Linked DNA regions of Oryctolagus cuniculus. The protein of the gene in region 4 binds, or shares a complex with, the protein of the main gene of each other region. Links are inferred from orthologs where the notes say so. Each region holds a gene or a part of one and is shown on either strand. Other genes may lie near its edges. The genes, in order: ITGB8, LRRC32, TGFBR1, TGFB3, TGFBR2 and ITGB6.

The links.
Region 1: the proteins of TGFB3 (region 4) and ITGB8 are in contact, whole or in part, in a cryo-EM structure (PDB 8VS6), measured with the Homo sapiens proteins. The link is inferred for Oryctolagus cuniculus from reciprocal best matches to the Homo sapiens genes TGFB3 and ITGB8. Residues at the interface, in NP_001316868.1 of Homo sapiens: Gly262, Asp263, Leu264, Arg266, Leu267, Lys268; in NP_002205.1 of Homo sapiens: Ser156, Ala157, Ser158, Asn161, Arg206, Gln210, Cys211, Tyr214, Leu216, Ser247, Gly248, Asn249, Ile250, Asp251, Thr252, Glu254.
Region 2: the proteins of TGFB3 (region 4) and LRRC32 are in contact, whole or in part, in a cryo-EM structure (PDB 8VSB), measured with the Homo sapiens proteins. The link is inferred for Oryctolagus cuniculus from reciprocal best matches to the Homo sapiens genes TGFB3 and LRRC32. Residues at the interface, in NP_001316868.1 of Homo sapiens: Leu24, Ser25, Thr26, Cys27, Thr28, Leu30, Pro347, Pro349, Tyr350, Leu351, Arg352, Thr357, His358, Val361, Leu364, Leu368, Ser375; in NP_001122394.1 of Homo sapiens: Ala110, Ser135, Tyr137, Ser160, Val184, Met186, Asp187, Ile188, Asp190, Phe193, Leu202, Leu204, Arg206, Asn207, Ser208, Thr210, Cys211, Ile212, Ser213, Asp214, Phe215, Ser216, Leu217, Cys227, Asn228, Ser229, Lys254.
Region 3: the proteins of TGFB3 (region 4) and TGFBR1 are in contact, whole or in part, in a crystal structure (PDB 9B9F), measured with the Homo sapiens proteins. The link is inferred for Oryctolagus cuniculus from reciprocal best matches to the Homo sapiens genes TGFB3 and TGFBR1. Residues at the interface, in NP_001316868.1 of Homo sapiens: Ala301, Leu302, Asp303, Asn305, Tyr306, Tyr350, Leu351, Ser353, Thr357, Thr360, Leu364, Leu368; in NP_004603.1 of Homo sapiens: His39, Leu40, Thr42, Lys43, Phe55, Met70, Ile78, Phe84, Val85, Lys91.
Region 5: the proteins of TGFB3 (region 4) and TGFBR2 are in contact, whole or in part, in a crystal structure (PDB 9B9F), measured with the Homo sapiens proteins. The link is inferred for Oryctolagus cuniculus from reciprocal best matches to the Homo sapiens genes TGFB3 and TGFBR2. Residues at the interface, in NP_001316868.1 of Homo sapiens: Arg325, Lys331, Trp332, His334, Tyr390, Tyr391, Val392, Gly393, Arg394; in NP_003233.4 of Homo sapiens: Leu50, Phe53, Asp55, Ser72, Ile73, Thr74, Ser75, Ile76, Glu78, Val100, Asp141, Glu142.
Region 6: the proteins of TGFB3 (region 4) and ITGB6 are in contact, whole or in part, in a crystal structure (PDB 4UM9), measured with the Homo sapiens proteins. The link is inferred for Oryctolagus cuniculus from reciprocal best matches to the Homo sapiens genes TGFB3 and ITGB6. Residues at the interface, in NP_001316868.1 of Homo sapiens: His259, Gly262, Asp263, Leu264, Arg266, Leu267, Lys268; in NP_000879.2 of Homo sapiens: Ser142, Ala143, Ser144, Asp147, Pro196, Cys197, Ser199, Ile200, Tyr202, Cys204, Ala234, Asn235, Ile236, Asp237, Thr238, Glu240, Asp271, Lys355.

What each region holds. Positions count from the first base shown.
Region 1 is NC_091447.1:12,468,257-12,471,756, reverse strand, and holds part of ITGB8 (integrin beta-8), read right to left. Parts: intron 1,936-3,500; coding exon 1,530-1,935; intron 1-1,529. UniProt on the Homo sapiens protein: Integrin alpha-V:beta-8 (ITGAV:ITGB8) is a receptor for fibronectin. It recognizes the sequence R-G-D in its ligands.
Region 2 is NC_091432.1:67,614,941-67,619,019, forward strand, and holds the start of LRRC32 (transforming growth factor beta activator LRRC32), read right to left. Parts: upstream 2,801-4,079; 5' UTR 2,574-2,800; intron 2,193-2,573; exon of another isoform or gene 1,880-2,192; intron 1-1,879.
Region 3 is NC_091432.1:202,740,863-202,745,049, reverse strand, and holds the start of TGFBR1 (TGF-beta receptor type-1), read right to left. Parts: upstream 2,801-4,187; 5' UTR 2,708-2,800; coding exon 2,620-2,707; intron 1-2,619. UniProt on the Homo sapiens protein: Transmembrane serine/threonine kinase forming with the TGF-beta type II serine/threonine kinase receptor, TGFBR2, the non-promiscuous receptor for the TGF-beta cytokines TGFB1, TGFB2 and TGFB3.
Region 4 is NC_091451.1:21,954,245-21,958,234, reverse strand, and holds the start of TGFB3 (transforming growth factor beta-3 proprotein), read left to right. Parts: upstream 1-1,190; 5' UTR 1,191-2,087; coding exon 2,088-2,577; intron 2,578-3,990. UniProt on the Homo sapiens protein: Transforming growth factor beta-3 proprotein: Precursor of the Latency-associated peptide (LAP) and Transforming growth factor beta-3 (TGF-beta-3) chains, which constitute the regulatory and active subunit of TGF-beta-3, respectively.
Region 5 is NC_091435.1:167,306,905-167,310,404, reverse strand, and holds part of TGFBR2 (TGF-beta receptor type-2), read right to left. Parts: intron 1,084-3,500; coding exon 904-1,083; 3' UTR 1-903. UniProt on the Homo sapiens protein: Transmembrane serine/threonine kinase forming with the TGF-beta type I serine/threonine kinase receptor, TGFBR1, the non-promiscuous receptor for the TGF-beta cytokines TGFB1, TGFB2 and TGFB3.
Region 6 is NC_091434.1:81,764,368-81,768,505, reverse strand, and holds the start of ITGB6 (integrin beta-6), read right to left. Parts: upstream 2,801-4,138; 5' UTR 2,664-2,800; coding exon 2,552-2,663; intron 1,839-2,551; coding exon 1,759-1,838; intron 1-1,758. UniProt on the Homo sapiens protein: Integrin alpha-V:beta-6 (ITGAV:ITGB6) is a receptor for fibronectin and cytotactin. It recognizes the sequence R-G-D in its ligands. Internalization of integrin alpha-V/beta-6 via clathrin-mediated endocytosis promotes carcinoma cell invasion.

The DNA.
Region 1 (3,500 bases), on a different chromosome or scaffold from region 4:
ACCTTAGAGTGGCTGCCCCAGGGTCCACGGCGGCAGGATCTGCCCAGTGTAAAACTAATGAGCTCCAGGCCAAACAGACGTCTGTCAGACTCTGTTCCTCTGTCGGCTGTGTGCCAAACCCTAGCCAGCTGACCTGTGAACATGTGTTTTTCCCTGCAGAGGAAACGAGTGGCGAAAACTCATGTCAGCCCTGCAGTGTGCACTTCAACACAGACAATTCAAAGCAGATCCTCCCCGCCTGCAGCTCAGAGCACCAGAGTTCTACAGAAGGGCTAGTTCTTGAATTTTTGACATGTCACTGTAATCACAGTGGGATCCTCATTGTATCTGGAATTTGTTTGAGAGACTGGATGCTGTAGGAGATGATTTCAGTAAATTCTTTCTCCCCTCTGTAAAATATTTCTCATCTCTGTAACATGCAGTAGACAAACTGCTGATTCATTCTTATGTCACCTAGAAATCTAATTCATCCTACTCACAATGCCAGTTATAGCTGAATAAATGCTTGGGATTTAAAATATTCTATGTATGTAACAGGATATAAAGGCAACTTGCCATCACATATTTAGATGCTGTAGGACCATTTTTGGTTTATACAAGAATATAAAATTTATTTTTTATAAGTTTGTTACTTTCTATGTCCTTAGGACAATGAATTATTTCTGCTCATCAATAATTTAACACATATTTGCTAAATGAAAATATTACCAGGGTTTTTTTTTTTTTTTATAATACGTAGACTCAGCACATTGTTACAGGGGCGTTTCCACAGAAATGACTGTTTATTTAAGTCATTTAAAAATAATACTTTGCTTTCATTTCCAAATGTGTACAAATTTTCTCTAATCTAACCTCTAGGTGGCGGCAAACCTAATTAGCCCATAGGAATTGTGATAACTTCATTTTCTGTTTGGTCTGTGTGTGGCCTCAGGAGCTAATCTTCCAGATTACTTAGTAAAACAGCATTTTCCTAAAGAATGCTGTCCTTTGGCAATTCTGTTGCTAGTGGTTTTCAAAAATTGGCTGGAGAGATTTAAATTATGCAGATTTATAATTCCAGCTACAATCATGCATTGAGAATTTTCCAATGAATGAAAAGTGTATTTTTATAGCTCAGTTCTCATTATCCTGATAGAAATAAAACCCTCTGAGTCAACTGGGGGGAGTGACCATTAACTAGAATGAATCAGGTCCTTCTAGAATATCTGATTCTTCTAGAAGGTGGGTCAGCCATCATCAGCCATTTCCCTTTCAGATAGCTATCTTTATGAGATCAAGGAATACATGGAAATGACAATTAACTTTAGTTTTTATTTTAAAGTATTTCTTATATGAAGTAAGCTAAAATATAAATAGCAACATTTGAGGCAATAGGTCTTGTGCTGTTTCCTAATCCCACACATTAAGAAACATTGAAAATTAAATTCAGACTCAGTGGTGGTCATTTGTAAGATGAGACGTAAGGGACTCTCACTGATATGCCAGTGTCTTCGTGACCACAAAGACAGACTGTGTCCACCCATACTCACCAGCACACAGACTGCCATGATGATAGGGACAGGAAAAGTCATCTTTTTCACAGTATTTTCCATACACTTTTCCAAGCTTCATCTTGTGACATAGGCATTTCCCACAAACGCAAACCCCTCGGCCACTGCACACCGGTTGGTCCTCGTGGGCCTTGCAGCCCTGACTGGGAGATTGTGCTTCCTCTTGACGACACTGACTCTCCTGGCACTGGGGACACGTGGAATCCAGGGGTGCTTCCTCGGCACACTTCGCTGCACCTCCTCTGCTGGCCTCACACTCACAGCCACAGTTTTGGTGTATATGGATTTTACTGGTTTCATTGAAACCAATAGGTTTGATTATTGCATAGTTCTTCCCTCCTGTGACACTGCATTTTTCCATTGTCACTGTTACATTGAAGAGCACCTAAATTGAGATTGAGGAAATAGATTTACATACATTGATTATTTTATCACCAATATTATAACTGCTAAGATTTGAATTGATAATATACTATCTTGAAGACATGAGTAATATTTGTAAAATACACATGAATCTCTTTTATAAGTAGATGCAGCTTCCCTTTTCAAGGTCATTTGCTTCTTAATTAATACCTAATTATTATTAGTTAATTCAGGCATTTATTTCTTAATTGTTAATAATTAATAAATTAATTAATAACTAGGGAGTTGAAGGATGCAATGGTTGCTAATATTGCACTATTAAAGAGACTAAGCCTATTTAAAGCATCTACTCCACCATTATGATTAATTTCTTAGCAGATTTGAGAAAGAATAGAGCATTGGTCCGAATTCAGTCCCAAAATGTGGGATTATTGAATACCTGGTGCTAGAGAGAGCAAGTAAACCCAAGCAAAGGGCTCTGCTCCGCTGGTGTAAAACCCTGAGATGAGATACTCAACCAAACAGCTTTCTTTCCTTCCTGTTTTCTAGGGTGCTAAGTTTCAGAGTCACATTTTCTTTTATACAGGGTGCCAAAGGAGGAAAATATGAGGTTTACTATGATCAGTCAAGGACAAAAGATTTAGACGTCTCACTCTCAAATCTTAGATCTTCAAGATGAGGTCAAATATTTATCCCAGAGGGAAGAGTTACTCCAGAACCAAGGAAGAGGACCGCCAGGCTTTGGTTTCCCTCCTGAAACTACAATGCCCTTCCCTCGGCCACTTTTTCCATTTGCTCTATTTCTTCTTTTTGCACAGCACAATTGGTTTGATGTGTCCACTTATAGTTGACCTGCCTTACCATCTTCAGGTCATTTGTTACATAAGAAGGTTGTATATTTTGTGGCCTTAAACAGAAATCTATTTAATTAGCATATATGTAATTAAATATACATAAAATCTAAATGTAAGTTTATTTATGCATAAGGAAGTAGAATCGGTCTCATTAAAATCAATACAGTTGGTTTGCACTTGAAATAGTTTTTGTTTTTAGGATTGTTAAGGATTAACAGATGTGTATGGTAATGTGGCCCCTGCCGTTCTGAACAGTGGAACAAAACTTAGGGTTGATGTAATTAGGAGGGAGGGCAAATGAATATTCCTCAGAGTCAAACTGCTTATGTTACTTGGTTGAAAGTGGAGGGGAAAGGGGATACAGGCAAAGAAGAGGGGGAAAAAAGTAAGAAATCAGGAAAATACTTCTTCTAAAATAGAGATTTTTGAAAGAAAGAACTACTCATAAAAAATTGGGTTTCATCACTCACTATCTTTTGCTAGTAAAAGTTTTCTCTGTATTTAAATCATAAATATTTTGTAAACTGCTGTGTGATACCTTTTGAACAAAATCCAAAGAGTGATTATAGAGGGAACTACAGAATTAGAAGCTTGCAATAATTAGTTTAAAATATACAGCTCAGAGGAAAAATATATGTGCTATTGCAGATTCTAAAATTTCCAAGATGGGATAATATATTCTAATTAAGGAGAAAGGAAAATTCTTTCTTTTTGATCTTAGAATAATAGGACT
Region 2 (4,079 bases), on a different chromosome or scaffold from region 4:
TCGGAAGGGGAAACTGAGGTTCAGAGAGCCCAAGCCACCCAAGAGGTGCCCAAGGTCACCCGGCTAGCCAGTGGTAGGCCACGCCAGTGTGGCCCCTGGCTCTGCGCCCTTAACCTTGGCACTCTCAAGCCTCTCCCAGCAGGTGCTCTGTGAACTAGCGCTGAGTTGGGATTCCGTGAGCCGCGTCAGGAGACAGGACATCGGCAGGGCCTTTGAGGGCTGTGACTTGGACCGCTGAACCCTCTAGTGGCAATGAACATGGCTGCTCTGGGGCTCTTTCCTGCTGGAACGTGCAAGGGACATTGCTGAGTCTTTCCAGCCGCAGCCACATCCCCGGGCTCCCTCCTCCGGGCCCCGGCCCCAGGCCCCTGCCACCACCATGGTGCTCCTCTCACCTGCAGGGGTCTGCTCTGTCCAAGGTAGAGGCTCCTGGACCTGGCCAGCCCTGCTCCCCAGCCTCCTCTCTCACCACCCCCTCTCCCTCTGTTTCGAGGTCACCTCCTTCCAGAAGCCTCTTTGGTTTCCCAAGTCTGGGCCACGGCCCGGAGCTTTCCACACCTCTGAGCTTCCGGTGGGCACAGCACCATGCACTGCAGGGCTCGCCCCACTCCCCCGGAACACACCCAGGCAGAGGCATGCTGTCCTCTGAGAGACCCCTCTCACAGCACAGGCCAGCCGAGGGAGGACAGTGTGGGTGACATGGTGACAGCAGCCCTCCACGACCTTCCCTCCCCTCCCTGCCACACACCTGCTTCCATCCGTGGGTGTGACCCTGGGTCTGCCCAGCTCCCTCCTCCATCCCTGGCCCCAGGACTTGAGGGTGGCAGGAGCAGCCCCAGTCACTTCTTCCCCATTTCCACCTGACCCCTTATTCAAAGCAGCCAGGGGGATATTTGAAAGTCACTTACGTGACTCTGCTGTTGGAAGACCTCCAGTCGGGGCCAGGCTTCACCCAGTCTCCTCTCTGGCTCCATCTACCATTTCCCTTCCCCACCAAACCCCAGACTCGGCCAAGGTCACTGCTGCCTCGGCACCTTGCCCTGCCATTCCCCTTGCCAGCAGTGCCAGTCCCCCTCCCCTCGCAGCCGTCACTTCCTAAGCACTTATTCAGATGGGAAGGGGACAGGGGCTCACCCAAGATTCAGTCAACAGGTAGCCGAGCGGGGCTGGGCTCCACGGCGGCCGACTGAGTGGTGAGTGCGAGGGAAGGGCAAGGTCGGGTTCAGCTCCGAGCCTGGAGAGCCCTGTCTCCTCCTTCCCGAGGCGGGCACCTGCACACCCAGAAGGGCCTCGCAGCACACGGGGACTCCACTCTGGGGAGTGCCCGAGGACACAGGTCACTTGAACCCAGGCTCACCGGGAAGCTCCACCACTCTGCCCCGCTGGCCGCCCCAGCCACAGTGACAGCAGACAGAGAGTGGCCAGGAAGGTGTCCAGGCGGGACGATGAGCTACAGGGCTGAGCATCCCAGGTGAGGCATGCAGAGGAGGGAAGCCCCGGGGAAGGGGGAAGAAAGGGCAGCTCACTGCTGACTCAGAAAAGAGCCAGAGGATATGAGAGAGAGAGAGAGAGACAGACAGACAGACAGAGAGGACACTGGCAATGCCCGCAGTCACAAGCCCACCCTACTACATAAGGATGTCACTCTGCTAAGCACCAGAGTTCTATCATCTCATTTAACTTTCACAACCACCCAAGGAGGTGACTGCTGTGCGTCCCAATTCACAGATGAGAAGAGGGAGGCTCAGGAAGCTGGGGGAACTGGCCCCCAGGGCTTCCAGCTCCCAGTGGTTTCACCCAGGTATGCAGGACCCCAAGGCTGTGCTTTCTCCAGCCCCCTAGAGAACTGTGCCCATTCTGCCCCGGAGACATGACTTACCCAAAGTCACCCAGGCAGCCAGCCGGAGATCAGGATCAGAACCCCGGGCCAGGCAGGCCCTGCGCTCCCGGGCTGACCCCGGCCAAGGCCCCCCACACAGACGCACAGCGGCCGCCTACTCACAGAGTCAGTCTGGGCTTCTCCCCTGCCCCGGGTCAGACTGAGTGGCTGAGGAGGGTCCCCGGAGGGCCGCAGTGAATCAGCGAGGCCAGCCCTCTCTGGAGACGTGTGCGTCCCACGGGGATCAGACCTTAACCCAGAGGAATGCGGCCGCCACGGCAGAATTCCAGGCGGCCCGGGGCGGGGTGGGGGTCCCTCCCTCCCCCGCTCCCACTCCACCCCCCTCCCCGCACCTCGGCGGCTGCGGACAGACGCGCGAGCGCGCCCAGGGGCGCTGGGACGAGCCCTGGAGGCGGGCAGTAGAGACTGCAGGAGACCTGGATTCAAATGCCAGCGGGGTGTTCCTGAGCCTCCTACCTCGGCTTGCCCAGCTGTCAAATGGGCGCGCCGACCTCAGCCCCGGGCGGGAAAGACCCGCCGCGACAGCCGCCCCGAGGCGTCCTGGGGACCGAAGGAGGGTCAAGTCCGGCTCGGCGCGCGCCTCAGGGGCGACCGGAGGGCGAGGGCCCTGGCCCCGGCCCCCGCCGGCGAGCGGCGCGGGACAGCGCTCCGTGGGGCCCCCGGCGGCTCCTACCTGGTTCAGCGCGGCCGGCGCTCCGCTCGCGGGTCGCCCCGGCGCATCGTGCGTACACCTGCCCCGGTCCTGCCCGGCCCGGCGCCAGGCCCCGGGTCCCGGCCCGAGGAGGCGCTCGGCAGCTCCGCTGCCCCAAGGGAGCCGACCCGCGAGGGGGCGGCCCCGGCGCCCATTTAAAGCCCGCTCGCGCCGGCCCGCCCCCGCCCCCTCGGCGGCGCCGCGCGGTCCTAGCGCCCTGCGGCCGCCCGAGACCCGCGAGCCCCCGCGGCGTCGGCGTCGGGAGGCCGGGGCGTCTGCTCCGAGTTGGAAGCCCGCGGGGAAGACGAGGCGAGCGCCAGCGGGGAGCAGGGTCGCCAGCACGCTCCGAGGGGGCGAGGCGAGACCGGCGTCGGCAACCGCACGTGCGGTCCCCAGCCCCGAGGGCTTGGGGGCTTGCTTGGTGGCTCTGGGAGCCGCAGGTCCGCGAAGGAAATCCGGCCTGGCCGCGATCTTCCAGCTGTCGGCGGCGCCGATGCTCTTCGCCCGGGGCGAGCGGGAAGGCCGGCGTGGGGGACGCGGAAGGAAGTGACCCGCACTGCGGCGCGGCCTGGCGGCCACTCTACCACCTAAACGAGCTATAGCGCCCGCGACCGTCCTCCTCTATCAGCTCTTGGGCCGTCGACTTCCGCAGCTTTGCGGCTTGAAAGCCAAGTGCGTGAGACCGCGGGGACCTGCTTTGCAGCTGCAGAAACTGAGCCTTAGCAAGGCTAAACGGCAACCCCACCGTCGCGCAGCTTTTTGGCATTGGCACTCGGGCGCCCGCTGTCCAGTTGGGGCACCATCGCGCCTGGTGGCTTAGCTGCTGTCCAGATGCTGCGCCATGGCCTTGGCGCCAAAGATCGTGGGCGTCTGGCCCTTGCCACATCCCTGTGCTCTGCTCTGCTAGGTGGCCGTTCCTCCAGGCCCTGGTCCAAGCAGAGAAGACTCCTCTTCCACAGTGCGTCTCTTCCCTGCCGGCCACCAGCCCCGAGAGTGGGGCCTTGGGGCCAACTGGGCTGAAGCTGGGCGATGTGGACACTGGCTTCCCTGGAGCCTACACAGCTGTCACTTTTTTTTTTTTTTGACAGGCAGAGTGGACAGTGAGAGAGAGACAGAGAGAGAAACGTCTTCCTTTGCCGTTGGTTCACCCTCCAATGGCCGCCGCGGCCGGCGCACTGCGGCCGGCGCACCGCGCTGATCTGATGGCAGGAGCCAGGTACTTATCCTGGTCTCCCATGTGGGTGCAGGGCCCAAGGACTTGGGCCATTCTCCACTGCACTTCCTGGCCACAGCAGGGAGCTGGACTGGAAGAGGAGCAACCGGGACAGAATCCAGTGCCCGGACTGGGACTAGAACCCTGGGTGCCAGCGCCACAGGTGGAGGATTAGCCTATTGAGCCACGGTGCTGGCCTGTCACCTCTTCTTGCTCCTGTCCAGTCCTCAGGGGTAGACCTGTGTAGATGGGACTCGTGTCAACCCAAGAGAGGC
Region 3 (4,187 bases), on a different chromosome or scaffold from region 4:
GAAATAGAAAGCAGAAGCCCTGTCCTCAGGGTGCCTGTACTGTCCCTGAGCACTACACGTAAGTACAGTTAAGTAACTGTAAGTGCTACACAGTCCAGGGACAGAGTTCAAGGAAAATTAAACTAGTACATTAAGTCAGGACCAGAAATTTGTGTCTCCACACCCGTCAAAAAGGGGCAAAATTAATTATGTATTGAAAAGGTTGAACCATCAGGAGTGTCAGTGGGAAAAAGGAAGTCATGGGAACCGAAGGTCTGCAGTAGTGAGAAGTGGGGTGGCTACTCAGAGATGGCCCAACTCAGAAGCCTCGAGCATCGTTCTTAGTGCACACACATGGGGCTCCGGTAAGCCCTGGTGAAGTGGCAGGGGAAGACTGGTTGAGCAGCAGCTCACAGGAAAGCCATGACAGAGGAACACTAGAAAGCAACCAGATTTGGAGATCACCGGCAGGACTAGGCTGACGGCTATCCACCAAGGAAGGAGGGGGTACTCGAGGCATCAGCACAAAGAGTCGGACTGTTTGCAAAGAAAAAAAGTCATGAAATTGCAGAAAGGAAGCAAAACAGCATTCTCGCGTGGGGTATAATGCAGGCACGGTGGAACTAAGCTGCACTAGGGACAAGGAATCAGCTCTAGAGAAATCCATGTTGGAGAGAGCAGAAGCTGGGCACAGAAATGCAAAACAGATCCCCAGACAATAAGGAAAAACCACCAGTCTTAAAAAGGGAAGCCAAAAAAAAAAAAAAAAAGAACTCTTGGGTTGCCTCAGAAAGCATGAAGGCACAGACGGAACCCGAACACACCTAAGCAGGGCGCCGGGAAAGTGGGGTGGTCTGGGCTGTGAGTAACCAGCATCCAGGCCAGCTCTGTATTGTATGTGTGCCCACACAGACAGTCAACTCCAGGGCACCACCCAGCAGCGTTCTGTCCCTCCAATTAAGTCGAGTATGTGCTACCCTAGGTGGAAAACAGTGACTGAACTACGTCACTCAAGTTAATAATGGTGTGGAAAGTTGCCTGCTTGATGCAGAACTGTATCAGTGTATCCCACCTGTCCACAGTTATCTTGCCTCCCTCCTGAGGCCAGGTCAAAACCCTCTGTTTCCTCTAATACAGGCCCATGGCAAGGGACTCAGGAATGTGTCAGGATGTAGAAAGAAGTCAACCTAACACTCAAATTGTGAGGCCAACATCTTAAGGGATGAATACCAACTGCTTGTTAGATGATGGAAAAAGAAAAAATGGGCTGTGCCAGATAGTTGGTGTATGGGTTTTGGAAACTGAGAGAGCTGACAGCAAATCCTAACCTCAGCACTTAGTAACTGGTCCTCACCTCTCTGCAGCTCAGCTTTCCCAACTACCAACGGGGCAAAGGCCAGCAGCCCTTAAGGGTTAGTGGCAGAGACTGGACAATACGCTTTGGCGTGCTTTTTGCATTTGCATCACAGTGGGCTCTTAATAGACAGTAGCTATTAGGATAGCTGGGCACCGGTCTTGAATTTGCTTTTGTTTAACACTTGTTCCATTTCGCTGCATTTTCACCCAAGTTCTCTATTTAGCTTCTATATTTTAGTTCAGTCTCTAACAGAGTTAGGCACTCCACCCTTCGCCAGGGTAGGCACCCACCACCTACTCCAACCTGGTTTAGCGACCAAAAAAGCTGGGCAAACAGTCTCACTTGAAAAGCGGCTACACAGACGTCTGATTCAAGCTGCTAACTGCCACTCAAGAAAAGGAACATCAGGAGCGACGCTCCTTCAAAGAAATAAAAGCGTTTCCATTCAAACACTCCCAACCCCGCGGAGTGAGCAAACGTGCAAGTTTCTACTACGAAAACAATCCGTAGCCTTCTGGCGGCTGGACTCGCTTCAACACTCCCAGACGCACGGAGAGGGAAACAATCCGCGCATCTCGTGCCGCCGCCGCCTCCTCAACACAAAGCTTCGCAGCTCCCCTTGCCAAGCCACCCCGGCCCGAGAGGCAGCCGCTCCCCGCAGGTCGGCTCGGGGTCGCGGCCGGCGCCAAAGCCCGCGCAGCCCTGCCGCCCCGGGGGTCTCCACCACGCGGCGGCCCCTCGCATCGCTCCGGAACGCCCTCGAGGCTCAGGGCTCACAGCCCGCCCGGGAAGCCTCCCCGGACCCCAACTCCGCCCCGGGACTCGGAAGAAGCCCCAGGCCCAGTCCTGCCTGGGGGCAGGGGTGCCCGGAATAAGGCCACGCAGTGACCTGGAGGACGCGCCGGGGCAGCCTGGCTCGGCCGGTCCGGTCCAGCCTCACCCTCCGCCCCTCGCCCACTCACGCCCCAGAGGGCAGCCCCCGACCTCGGACGGCTCCGCCTGACGCCGCCTCTCCTCCGGGGGCCCCCGGAACCCGGGCGGCCTTGGGTTGTCGGCCACGTCCACGCGCACTCGGACACACACCCCCGCCGCTCCTCCGCTGCCCGCCTCAGCTTCGCCTGGCGGCCACCAGCCCCTGAAAGCCCAGCCCGGGCCCCGGCGCCGCCACCTGCGCCCCCGGCCCCGCGCCATGTTTGAGAAAGAGCAGGAGCGAGCCAGAGGCCGGGCCCGGCCCGCGCGCCCCCGCGGCCGCCCGCCTGCCCGCCCGCCGCGCCGGGGCTCACCCGTTGCCCCCGGGAGCAGCGTCGCTGCCGCCGCCAACACGAACAGGAGCAGCCGCCGGGGACGCGGAGCAGCGGCCGCCGCCTCCATAGTCCCGCTGCCGCCGCCTGTGGCCCGGCCCGGCCCGGCCGCCGCCTCGCCTCAGCAAGCCTCGCCTCGCCCCACCTCCCCCGCCGCCGCGGCGGCCTCGCTCCGGCCCTTTGTAACTGCTCCGGGGACGCGCGCCCATTGGCTGCCGGGCCCCCGCCGGCCCCGCCTCCCCGCCGGCTGCGAGCGGCCCAGCGGGACCAGGCCGGGAGCCCCGCCTGCGGGCCCGCCAGGCGACCAATCCGGGGCAGCGGGCTCCGGCCTCCGGCCACGCCCCACACACTCCCCGGGGGCGGTGCCGCCAGACCCCTTCCCCAGCCGGAGCGAGCTCCGGGTTCCCGAGGCCGGGTGGGGGTTGGCTCTCCCGAGCCCCAGTGGGCGATGGGTGTGTCTGCTTCTGGCTAGCTTTCGAAAAAAGGCTGCGGCCGCTCGCCGCTCTTTTCTTCTGGCCTCCTCTTAGACACCAAAGAGCTGGTCCTGACCCAGCCCCACCCTGGCCCCCCCATCCACAGCCCTGCACCTGCAGTCGGTAACACAAGCCGCCCACATCCGCACTGTCGCGGAGCGCTTGCATCCACTTCAGCGTCCCCTCCCCAGACCCACGCCTCAAGTTTCAACATCACCTTTCTCAGTGCCCATCACATGCGACTCATCCTGCTCTTGGCGTACACCCCATACCTAGCCCCCTCCTCAAATTCCAGGCCCAGAAAGTTCTCAGATCTCAATCTTAGATCCCAGAGCCCGAATCCAGACACACACCTCAAATAGCCTCCCTCCAGATCACGCCCAGAACAGGGACCCAAGCCACTCTCCTACCCTCTTTTCGACTTCCTGATTCAGGTTGGAAAGGGAGAGCCTGCATCCCACCCTCCAAGGAAGGGAATCTCCGCTCTCAGCCCCAGCTCCTCCCGGGCGGAGGGGAGCAATCATCGTTACCTTGAGCTGTCTCTGATTCGCCTGTGTAATAATTCTGAGGTGTCACTGAAAACCCAAATAAACTCCACTACGTTTTCATTCTGAATTCCTAATTTACTGTGAGACGCTCCACCCACCTTCCCTCTGGGATGCCAAAACTAACTCCAGATTTGTAATTCTTCCTGTCAGACTAGTGCCTTCTTCAGACACAAACACAGCCAAGGAGGCTGTGTTACGCAGCACGGAGAACGATTCTCCGAAGGACCTTTTAAGGAGAAAATGTGAATTTTCTGAGCGATTGGAATTTGGAATTAAATAAAGCTTGGTAATCAGAATCAGAACCAGCCGTCTAGTTGGGATTTGCAAATTCCTTGAGAGCTAGTAGGTGAGAATGGTACCCGCCTGAGGAAGTTGGTGAGCTGTGAAGGGGAAGGATGGGGATGTGGGAGCTGGGATCTGAGACCCGCTGGGTTCCTGTCCCTGCAAGGACACTCTAGCAAGTCAGTGAATTCTGTTTGCTGGCTTGTGTTTGTCTATATTTGAAAGGCACAGAGACAGTGACACATAC
Region 4 (3,990 bases):
GCTCCTGGCTTTGGATCAGCGCAGCTCCGGCCGTTGCAGCCGATTGGGGAGTGAACCATCAAATGGAAGACCTTCTCTCTCTCTCTCTCTCTCTCTCTCTCTCTCTGCCTCTCCTCTCTCTGTGTAACTCTTTCAAATAAAACAAATAAGTCTTAAAAAAAGAAAATTATTCCTATCCAAACCATAGAATCTGAGTTCAATATCAGCTCCGCCATTCATAAGCAAGGTGACCTAAAAACAACAACAACAAGGTGGCCCCTCAACTGTACAGTGGTCCAGCAGCGTGCCCTGTGCTGCACAGAGCGTCCCGGCTGGAGCCGGGCGCCCTTTGGGTCTGGCCGGGCTGCAGGGGGCGGCGGCCATTCCCAGGAGAGGGACCCCTCGGACCGACGTCCGGGGCTGCAGGGGGAGTCTGGCCGGCCCTACGCTGTTTGCTCGTGGGAAAAGCCCTCGAGGTCCCGGCGGGACGGCGGAGCGAAGTTGGAGCGCAAACGTCCCCTCCTCAGCCATCTGGGAAACCGGCTCGGGCCAACCGCCGGCTCCGCGCTGGCTGGCGCGGCTCCCACGGAGCCCCCGGCGGGGAAGGGAGGCCGAGACGGCCGCGCCCGCACGCACGGGGGTCCCCCCGCGCCCGCAGCCCCCTCTCCCGCCCCGCGGCCCTCCCGGCCTCCGCGTCTCCGTCACTGGCGGCCGGGCCTCGCCAGAGGGCACCCTCGGCCTTCCGGAACGCGCCACCATTTTTTTTTCCGGCGCCCCTAGAGCTTCTGCAGGCTCGCGCGGCCGCCGACGGCGGGTTTGCCCCGTGAGGAGCGGGGGGCCAGGCTGGCCGCCGCCCGGGACGCTGCCCGAGGGACGGCCGGGGGCCCGGAGGGGCGGAGGCGAGGGGCGCGGAGTGCGCGGGCCGACAGCTGGCCAGAGGGCGCAGGGGCCGGGGGGAGCCGCCAGGGAGGGGGCTGCTCGGAGTAACTTTCCAGAAAAACAGCCAACGTGTAGCAGGAGTGACTCCAAGAGGGGAAAAAAAGTTCAGTGACCACGTCGGACGCAGCGTGTTTTTCAAATGGGCTCGGCTTTTCCCGTGCCTGTTTAAAACATTACAATCGTGCAGCGGCGAAGGAGGCCGGGCCCTGCCTCCCTCCCCCACCCGGGGCGGGAGACGTCATGGGAGGGAGGTATAAAATTTCAGCAGAGAGAAATAGAGAAAGCAGTGTGTGTGCATGTGTGTGTGTGAGACAGAGAGAGACGCAGAGCCAAGTCCAAGGCAAAGAGCGAGAGAGGCGAGAGACAGGGGAAGAAGCGTGCGGGAGAAGCCTGCCGGAGCAGCCCTGCAGTGAGCTGCCTTCTGTTTTCTTTCCTTTTATTTTTCATTTTTATTTTTTTTAAAGAGGAGCCAGGGACAGAAGCCATGGCGGAGGGAGAAGACACGCAGAGGTGCTGGTGACCGTGGGCGGCCGAGGGGGCTCTTGGGGCTGCCAGTTGCACGGGACTCCCCGCGTCTCAGCCAATGAAGAGGACACCAGGCAGCGAGAGCAGAGTGGTTTAGAAAGCCCCCAGCGAGTGTAGACGGAAGGGCAAGCATGGATGGAGTGCCTGGGGGACGAGGGTGCCCCGTGTTGCCCCCACCTTTAGCCGGCCCAGCAGCTGCCCAGCCCTGCCCATCCCCACCTACTCACTGGTGATCTGACTTTTCTGTTTTTCTTTTTCTTTAATATTATCCCTCCCCCCCTCCTTTTTTTTTGTTCCTGTTCTCCCTCCCTCTTCTCCTTCAGGGCAAGGCGAGGGTTTTGATTTTTGGGACCCGGCCACGGTCCTTCCGTGCCCTCTTTAAAATACCCGCTTTCTCCCCATCGCCAAGTGGCGTTTGGCAATATCAGATATCCGCTCTATTTATTTTTACCTAAGGAAAAACTCCAGCTCGCTTCCCACTCCCAGCTGCCTCGCCACCCCTCCCAGCCCTCCGCGTGCCCAGCAGAACCTGTTTAGACACATGGGCGAGAATCGCGGCGCACCGAGGCACACAGTCCGCTCCGCCGGCCTCGGGGCTGCCAGCGCTTCCTGGAAGTCTGCAGCTCGCGCAGTGCAGTGAGTTCATGCACCTTCTTGCCAAGCCTCAGTCTTTGGGATCTGGGGAGGCCGCCTGGTTTCCCTCCCTCCTTCTGCACGTCTGCCGGGGTCTCCTCCTCTCCAGGCCGCGCCGCCCCCCCTGGCCTCTCTCCCCGGCTCGCCCCATGAAGATGCACTTGCAAAGGGCTCTGGTGGTCCTGGCCCTGCTGAACTTTGCCACGGTCAGCCTCTCTCTGTCCACTTGCACCACCTTGGACTTCGGCCACATCAAAAAGAAGAGAGTGGAAGCCATTAGGGGACAGATCTTGAGCAAGCTCAGGCTCACCAGCCCCCCTGAGCCGTCGGTGATGACCCACGTCCCCTACCAGGTCCTGGCCCTTTATAACAGCACTCGGGAGCTGCTGGAGGAGCTGCAGGCAGAGAGGGAGGAAGGCTGCACTCAGGAAAACACCGAGTCGGAATACTATGCCAAAGAGATCCATAAATTCGACATGATCCAGGGACTGGCGGAGCACAGTAAGTCCCGGTCCTCACCAGGGTCACCGCCCTGGAGGGTCTCCACCGGAGCAGGGCGCTGGGCAGAGGGGGCCCGGCAGCGGCCACACCGCGGAGCACCCGGGCTCAAGACATGCGATGTGCCGAGGGGGCCCGGTAGTGGGTGGGTGGGGTGGGAGACAGAGCCCTTCTGGTGAGAGCCGGGGCGCCTCCGGGAGGCCGGCAGCTTGCCGGACTCACATCACATCCTTGGCGGATTTTAAGTCGGAGTTGCACAGGGCTGCCTGGAGAAGCATATGTGTTCTCGCACATGCGATCCTACGGGGAACTGTAAACATATGGGTGCCATACCGGGGTGGGGTGGGGGGCGGCTGGCTCTCTCCCTCGAGCCCTGACAGCTCCACGAGTCTGGAGACTCGGATCCTGTCCCTGCTTCTCACAGCTCGCGGTGACACGTCTCCCTGTCAGCTGTCCCAGTTTCTGGGAAGAACAGTACCTGCCCCCAGATCAATGTATGGGAAGCGCCCGGGAGCCCAGGCGAGAGAGCCTGGGCCCTTCTGTCTGCACCACACACATGACCCACGTGAGCCCACGTGTGTAGGGGGAGGGAGTGCACATGTGTTCACATGTCCGTGGACTTGAGGGCAATGCGTCGTCTCGGGTGGGACAGTGGATGGATTGCTCAAAACGGGCACCTTCCTGGGACCGGGGGAACACATGAGAGCAGGGTTGGAGCTCTGGGTGTGTAGGGGAGGACGGGTGGCCCTCTGTGTCTGCGTGTCACGGGCGGGTGGTCCGGCGAGAGAGCGGGTTGGGGGGAGGGGGTGGCCGCGGGGCCGTGTGTCCGGGAGCCTGTCTTCCCAGGAGCCTGCCGTCTGCGCGCAGGAGCTGGGAGCTGCGGGCCGAGACGCCTGTGTGTGTTTGTACACGTGTGGAAGTCATGTGTGTTTACTGAACGGGGATTTAAAAAACCTCAATACAACAGAGAGAAATTTGGCAGATGTTAAGAAACTGACAGCCCAGGAGAAGAGGAATGTGAGCCGCTCATGGGCCAGAGGCTCCGGCGCAGCTCTGTTTGCTTTTCCTACCAGCAGGTGTCCTCGCCGCCCTGCCGACCTAGCCCAGGCCCACCTGGGAGGTGCGCCGTGCACGCACTGGGGGCGGCAGTGGGATGGTGGGTGGGGGGTGCACAGAAAGGGTGGGAAGAAGCTTGGCTAGAGAAAAGGAACAGGCGAGGGGACTGACACGTGCACCAGCTCTGGCTGCAGGAGGTGCAGAAGGCCCCACTGGGAGCCAGCCCGTGCCAGGTGGAGGAGCTTGTGGTTACTGGCGAGGGGTTCCTGGGGCTGCCTGGGGCGCCCTTCCTTAGGAAGTGGCTACCGTGTGGGGCGGAGGCCGGGGGCCGAGGCAGAGCTGGGGTTCTCTGGCCAGGCC
Region 5 (3,500 bases), on a different chromosome or scaffold from region 4:
GGGGAAGGGTAGCAAATGTACAGAGGGAATGACACAGCGAAGAACAATCTTACTAGTAGATGGTGGGGCAAGTTCACGGGTGCAGACATTTACCCTGATTGTTCTGCAGCCTATGAGGGTGACACACGGGGCCTCGAAACATTTAAACTAGCAGAGATGGGGCAGTTTCTGAGCTGTGTGGAGCTTGGAGCCCAGATGCAAAATCCAGGAGCGTCAATGGCACACAGGAACCCCAGGAACACTGGTCCCCAAACAGTGCGACCATACTTAGCTCCAGGGCTGGAGGAGAACCCCCGTGCCAGGAATCATGATTGCAAAAGCAAGTGTAACATGGCCGAAGCAGGCCCCGAGACACGGAGCGTCTCTGCTCACGCCAGGTGCCCCGTCGCCCAGCTTGGGGAGGACACCACGTGTGTCTGTCAGGGGGTAACGCTGTCCTCTGCCTTCCTTCCTCGCTCGGTTCTGGGGCTCTCCAACCAAACCGATTTCCTGGGAATCTTTGATCTTTTTCCTTGTCTCTTTTCAGAGTATGGCTATATATATTTATATAGATAGATATAGATATAGACATATATAGATATATATAAAACATAGCTATTCCATATTTATATACAGGCATTAATAAAGTGCAAATGTTATTGGCTATTGTAAAAAAATCAATCTCGTTTCCTGAGGAAGTGCTAACACAGCTTATCCTATGACAATGTCAAAGGTTTAGAATGCTTTATGTCACCTGCTCCCTGTGCTGTGTTTTCCACTCATCCCCACAGCTTACAGGGAGGGGGAGTGATGCCCTTGGTTTTCCAGGAAGCATCGGCCAATTCAGGGGCAGCTTCCTGCTGCCGCTGTTCTTTGGTGAGAGTGGTGGCTTCTTTGGATTTGGCCCAGCCGGTCCCAGAAGTGCTACTTGGTAGTGTTCAGCGAGCCATCTTCTGGAATCTTCTCCTCAGAGCAGCTCCTTCCCGAGAGTCTGTCCAGGTACTCCAACTCGCTGAAGCGTTCCGCCACGCACTGGGCCGTGAGACGGGCCTCCGGGTCGTGGTCCCAGCATTCGGTCAGTGTCTCACACACCATCTGTATGCCCTGGAGAGGGAGAGGGGTCCAAAGCACACTTGAATGGAGGGCTCTGGGGGTGGCAAGGTGGTCTGTTGACATTTGGCCCTGCAGCATACTAACATGCTCTGCCCAAGCACCTTGCCAGTTCCATGTGGAACAGGGGCTGTGCAGGGGGCAACGGCTCAAGACACCTGTCTGCCTATTCGCACTGGTGCGATTTGGTCACTACAGGTCAGGACACACGAGGGCCCCCTGCTTGGGATACAGGGCGAGAGGAGCATTGTCAACGCTTGATTTCTCAGGTGGTGGCCCCCAATACCTGTCACACCTTTCTATTCTACTTTGAGCAATTTTAGGTTCACCGCTAAACTGAATGGAAAAGTATAGCAAGTCTCTAAATAACTCCTTCCCCACACACGCACAGGCTCTACTGTCACCAGCTGGCCTCTGTTTGGTGCACCTATTGCAACTGACGAGCCAATGCTGATACATGATTCCTAACCAAGATCCACAGTTCACCCTGTGGTTCCCTCTGGGTGTTGTACACTCCACTGGTTTTGATCTTCCACTGCCGTGTCATGCATAATATTGCCTCCACCCCGGAAATCCCTCATATTCCACTTGTTCCCTCCCCCTCCCCCTGAAGTCCTGGCTCTGCAGTTGTTTGTGCTGGGGAACATAGAGTTGGCTCACACAACACCACTCGATTCCGACAGGGCTGAATACCAAAGTCAGGGTGGTGTGCAGGCAGTGGGCCGGGTTCTTTATGTAAAGTGCACGTTTCGTGGAAGAATTCAGAAGCAGCTTCGAGGAACTACCAAGGATGACCTCTCGCTTGCCCCATTCCTCTCCAACATTAAATCACACTCTGGGAAATGCTGTCTTTGTATGTTAAGAGTGCTTGCCTCTAGTCTGTTTAATAGGGTTCATCCCAGCCCCATAAATGCCCCATCCAATGAGTCCAGCAGGGTGCCAAGTTTCCATTCACTGGCTTATTATTTATTTTTTTTTGCATTGCAAATTTTGTTGTTACTATTGCAAATCCTTTTGGGGGAAGAAATCAGACAACAGCTAAATAGATAATGTGATAAGCCAGAAATAGTCTTTTCTTCCCAGCTAAAAGATCAGCATTGCCAATGGCGATCTCTCACAACGGCTAAGGTGGGACAGACAGATCTCAACCCTGTCCTGGAGAGCCAGCACTTGTCCCACTTGCCTTTTTTTAAAATTTTTTTGACAGGCAGAGTGGACAGTGAGAGAGAGAGAGACAGAGAGAAAGGTCTTCCTTTTGCCGTTGGTTCACCCTCCAATGGCCGCCACGGCCTGCGCACTGAGGCAGGCGCACCGCGCTGATCCGATGGCAGGAGCCAGGTGCTTCTCCTGGTCTCCCATGGGGTGCAGGGCCCAAGCACTTGGGCCATCCTCCACTGCACTCCCTGGCCACAGCAGAGAGCTGGCCTGGAAGAGGAGCAACCAGGACAGAATCCGGCGCCCCGACCGGGACTAGAACCCGGCGTTTCGGCACCGCTAGGCGGAGGATTAACCTAGTGCTGGTGCCGCAAGGCGGAGGATTAGCCCAGTGAGCCACGGCACTGGCCCCACTTGCCTTTTAACACCAACAGCTTTCCCAACACACCTACAAGCTTGTTTCTCCCTCCCCACCCTGTGAGTTCATGATGTTGAATTAATTGTAAAATTCACCTAATTGACGGCATTGATTGATGGCCCTGTTAAAAGTGGAGTGTTATTGTTGGTACACAAGTAACATTTATTTTATTCTGGCACTGTAATTACAGGCAGTAAATTAAATTAAATATTAAGCATTAACTTGAAATCAATAGGGCAACAAATCTCATTAAGAGAAAAAATGTATTATGCAAATTCTTCCCAGAATTTTATCATCATGAATAATGGCTTCATTAGAAGAATTACACAGCAGAAGAAGCTACAGAGTTTGGAAGAAACATAACACTCTAGAATCTTCTGATTTTTGAATTTATGCAAAACCAGTGTTGCAGTTTTAGAATCACAGATGATCTGCCGGAAACCCAGGACAGGCCCCTCCCCCACTGCAACCTGGGTCAGCCCTGACGGCTGACAGGCTGTCCCTGAAGTGGCTTTGGTCAAGGCTAGCCCAGGGCAGACTTTCTGCTCCATCTGCCTTCCGTCTTGCAGCAGAGGTGTTGTTATTTCTGTTTCTTATCTGAACCTGCCTTGCCCTTAGGAAAACCTACCACTTCCAAACTCCTTCCAATCCAGAGCAATGGCGCCCTCTTTAGCAGACACCTGTGCGCGGCGTCCTGCATGCCGCAGTCACTCCCCGGTCCAGCTGCCTGACAAACCCTGCTCCTCTCCCAACTCCAAGAATTTCTTTCCTAAGCCGCAGATTCCCAGAGGAAAACATCTGAAGCCAGCGGGAATGAAACATAAACTCCCGGGTTGGG
Region 6 (4,138 bases), on a different chromosome or scaffold from region 4:
CTATGCATATTTGAGGCTCTGGGGCAGGCATGGCGAATTCCAACTTCCCAGGGTGTTACAAAGGCTAACAGTGGCTGCTGGAGGCCTGAGACTCCCCCTCACCACAGTGACCTTGCACTCACAGCCTTTACCAAAGGATCAGAGGTGATGTTAACCAAGGAATTTACTTTCTATCTGCTGTAAACGAAGACTTAATTTGCTTTTTGCTCCAGTTATCTCAGTTAATATCCTGATAGCTACTTTGACTCTTAGAGTGACTTCTTAAAATAATCTGACCTAAATTTAAACCGGCGCCGTGGCTCAATAGGCTAATCCTCCACCTTGCGGCGCCGGCACACCGGGTTCTAGTCCTGGTTGGGGCGCCGGATTCTGTCCCGGTTGCCCCTCTTCCAGGCCAGCTCTCTGCTATAGCCAGGGAGTGCAGTGGAGGATGGCCCAGGTGCTTGGGCCCTGCACCCCATGGGAGACCAGGAAAAGCACCTGGCTCCTGGCTCCTGCCAGGATCAGCGCGGTGCACCGGCTGCAGCGGCGGCCATTGGAGGGTGAACCAACGGCAAAGGAAGACCTTTCTCTCTCTGTCTCTCTCTCTCACTGTCCACTCTGCCTGTCAAAAAAAAAAAAAAATAATCTGACCTAAATTTTGACCATAATTTGACTCTCAAGTGTCATCCGCAAGTAAAGCTATCCATGGTAACACAGGACCCTCTCTTAAACGAATGCTAAAACAGTGCACTTAAATAAAATTCTAGACTGATTCGTATTATGTCTTTGACTCCATTCTGTCTTTTTAAGAGAGTCAATATCCCCTCAAATGTGAATTTTGCCCTCATTGTATGTTTTAATATACTGCTTTTGATATATGAGCTCACAAAAGCACACTTTCCTTGAATTCTGCGGCCTCGGCAGTCAAGGCATTGGTGTGGTAGGAGCCAGGTCTAGCTTTGTTTCCCATTGAGCATGCTACTCAGCTCTTGCTGAACTTGGCATTTGTATGGTTTGATTTATGTTTCAATTCTGTTTATGAGATCCAGTGGGCAGAGACTTGTTTTAAGATCCAGAAAGCTAATGCATATCCCTTTTCCATGAGTCATTGACAAATTGCTCTATGGGGTAACGGGACAGGCAGTGACTTTGGATGTCTTGTTATATATTTCCCAATCAATTTCAAACTACATTCACATAGTTTTCAGTTTGACCAGATAAGGAATGGCTGTTTGGGGCTTTGTTATCTGTGTGATATAGTCACTCAGGTCATGAAAATGTAATTTTTAAAAGAAGTAGACCATATCTGAACAGTAATGCTTACCCCAAACACTTCTCTTAGAACTTAGCAATGGTTCAGGAAGGATCTTGCTTATGAGATGGAATGCAATAATGTATAATATTATATATAATGTCAAATGTGTTTGACTTTAGGAAATATCACCTCCATCATTTCTGATTATTTAGAGGGCTCCACTATAAGATATAATCAGTTAGAAATGACTTTAAAATAAGAGGAGGAACCTCTTTTAAATAAATAATTCTGAGTTAAGTCCCTTTTCAAAATAACATGACATCCACCCCTTCCACAAATAAGTTTTCAAAGTGATTGTATGAATGGCATTTTGAACCACCAATGCTTATATTGTCCTTTCTTGATATGCTTTTCCCATATAATCCTCCAATAGGCAGGACATTAGCAGAGCCAACCCTGAGGAAATTAACATATGTGTAACTATATAATTTTTAAAAACAGGTTGAGGTCAGTTGTCTTACCTCCTGAGAACACCAGGCGCACTGCGGTCCAAGGAGCAGGCAGTCCTCACAGGTCTCTGCACCTCCCAGGGCACAGCCACCTGTGTTCCACCCAGCAAGAAACAAAGGGTTAAGAACACTTTCATTCATTTTGTTTATGAGACTTACCCCTCTTAAATTATTTGAATAAAACCATAACAAAGTCTGTTTCAGTCTTTACAGATCAGTTCCCAAATGTTAGCAATTCACCTGAGAGTTTATATTTTATATCTATCCCATTGAAACTATGTCTTATAGGAGAAAAATTATTCTTTTTTCTTATGGTATGTAAATATCTAAGCATTCACAAGTACAGAATGCTAATTATTTTTATTCACTCTATGACACATAAATTTTTAAAATTATTTACACTCATAAAACGCACTTCACTCTTAAATGTGATATTTCTGCTTTTGAAATAAATCCTTTTTGTCCCGCAAGATTACTCCTAAGTGAAAAGGCTTATACAATAAACTAGAAACGTTTCCAAAATGGTTGTCACGGTGGCATTGAGAAGTCTCATTGTGCAGTAATGCTGTTTAATTCTCCTTATTAAAATGTCTATGCAACCTTTGTATTTATTTACCTTAAGCCTGGAGCATTCACTGTGGGAACAGCTCAGTGTTTGCCTGCAATTTGTTAAAGTGTTCTCTCCGTGGCAAAAGAGCAGTCAAACAGATCAAATAAAAAATGACTTCAGATCTAGTTTCTGAGCCAAATGACAGGTTTGTCAAGCACACCACGAAAGCAACATTACAGAGAACTCAGGTCTTACCTTGTACGCACTCATTCCTTCCCAGAAATAGAAAGAACAGGCAAAGCAGTTCAATCCCCATTCGCTTCAGTTCTCGCTGTGCAGACGGATTAAAAAATGAATTACCTTCCATGTTACAAGACTAAAGCGGAATATCGGTGAAAGTCTTTCTTTCTTGCAGTGCAAAATTTAAATACTACTTACGCTGCTTTGAAAAGAAACTTGAGATGTAAGTTAAGAAGTTTTCATTAAGACTGAAATGAAAACAGAGGCTACCTGGACAGGTAAAGAAGAAAAGCTGTATTTGAAAGCAACTTCAACATGATTTACTTCCTTGTTCTCCTTATAAGGAAGGCAGGTGTACGATCACCAAGAAGGTGGGGAAATTCATTCAGAAGAAATTTTTGTGTAAATTCTGTTAGTCTCTCTGTAGTCCAGAGAAAGTTTAAGATCTGTAGTGAAATATTGATTAATGAAATGTCAGAGCAAATCAAGTATGATTGTGTCTACAATAATTTCCATTTAATGTGAATAGTAACTATGTGAAATGAAACTCAAGTATTTAAGTTATATGTAAGGAGCTCATAAATGAAAATACCTGAGATTTTTGTATTCCATTGTTAAATCTTTTGCAGAAAATGGAAATGAACTCTGAAAAATAAAAATAAATTTTTTCCGATCAAATTAGAAGGTAGGCTAGGGAAAGTAAAACACTGGGTTTTTCAAATTGGATGAAAGATATTTTCCCATAAAAATATATTGTATTTAAAATGTGATACTATGAGCAGACACTGGCACAGTGTTAAGAGGCCACTTGGGACACCCATATCCTTTACTGGAGTGCCTGGGTCCCCATCCCAGCCCCACTCCCAATTCCAGCTTCCTGCTGATACACACCCTGAGAGGCAGCAGGTGATGGCTCAAGTACTTCGGTGCCTGCCACCCATGTGGAAGACCCAACTGAGACCCAGGCTCTTGGCTTTGGCCTGGCCCAGCATTGGCTGCTACAATCAATTGGGAGTGCACCAGAGGATGGAATATCTCTCTGTGTCTGTCTCTGTCTCTTGCTGCCTTTCAAATAAATTAAAGATAACTAAATAAATTTAAAAAGGGATATCAGAAATAGATACAATATGTGAAAATCAAATTATAACAGAATAAGATGATCTCACAACAGCAAGTTTGGAAACAGAAATAATGGTTCACAGATTCTGAATTCCTCAGTATAGGGACCAAATTCTCTTTCCAAGGTGCTGTTACAGCTTCTAACTCACATGGGTACCTGGCACATAGGAGATAGGGATTTATTTGTTAAATAAAAGATTCACCATTCAAAAATCCATATACAGTCATCGTCACCCCTTTAGCTCCCTCCCCATCCCAGCGTATTCAGCAAGTTGTTTTGGGATTTGTAGGAACTGCAAATAGGTAAGAATCCAATACTTACTTGGTCGTTTTCTGAACTGTCTGCTCTTAGACAAGCCTCTTTGTGGCTGCACTTATGTCCTAGGAGATTATCTTTTAAAAGTGTGTTTCTAGGCAAACACATGAAACCTGCAGAGAAGAAAACTAATTATAGACTGTGTAAGTTCTTCTCAGCAGCTGAGG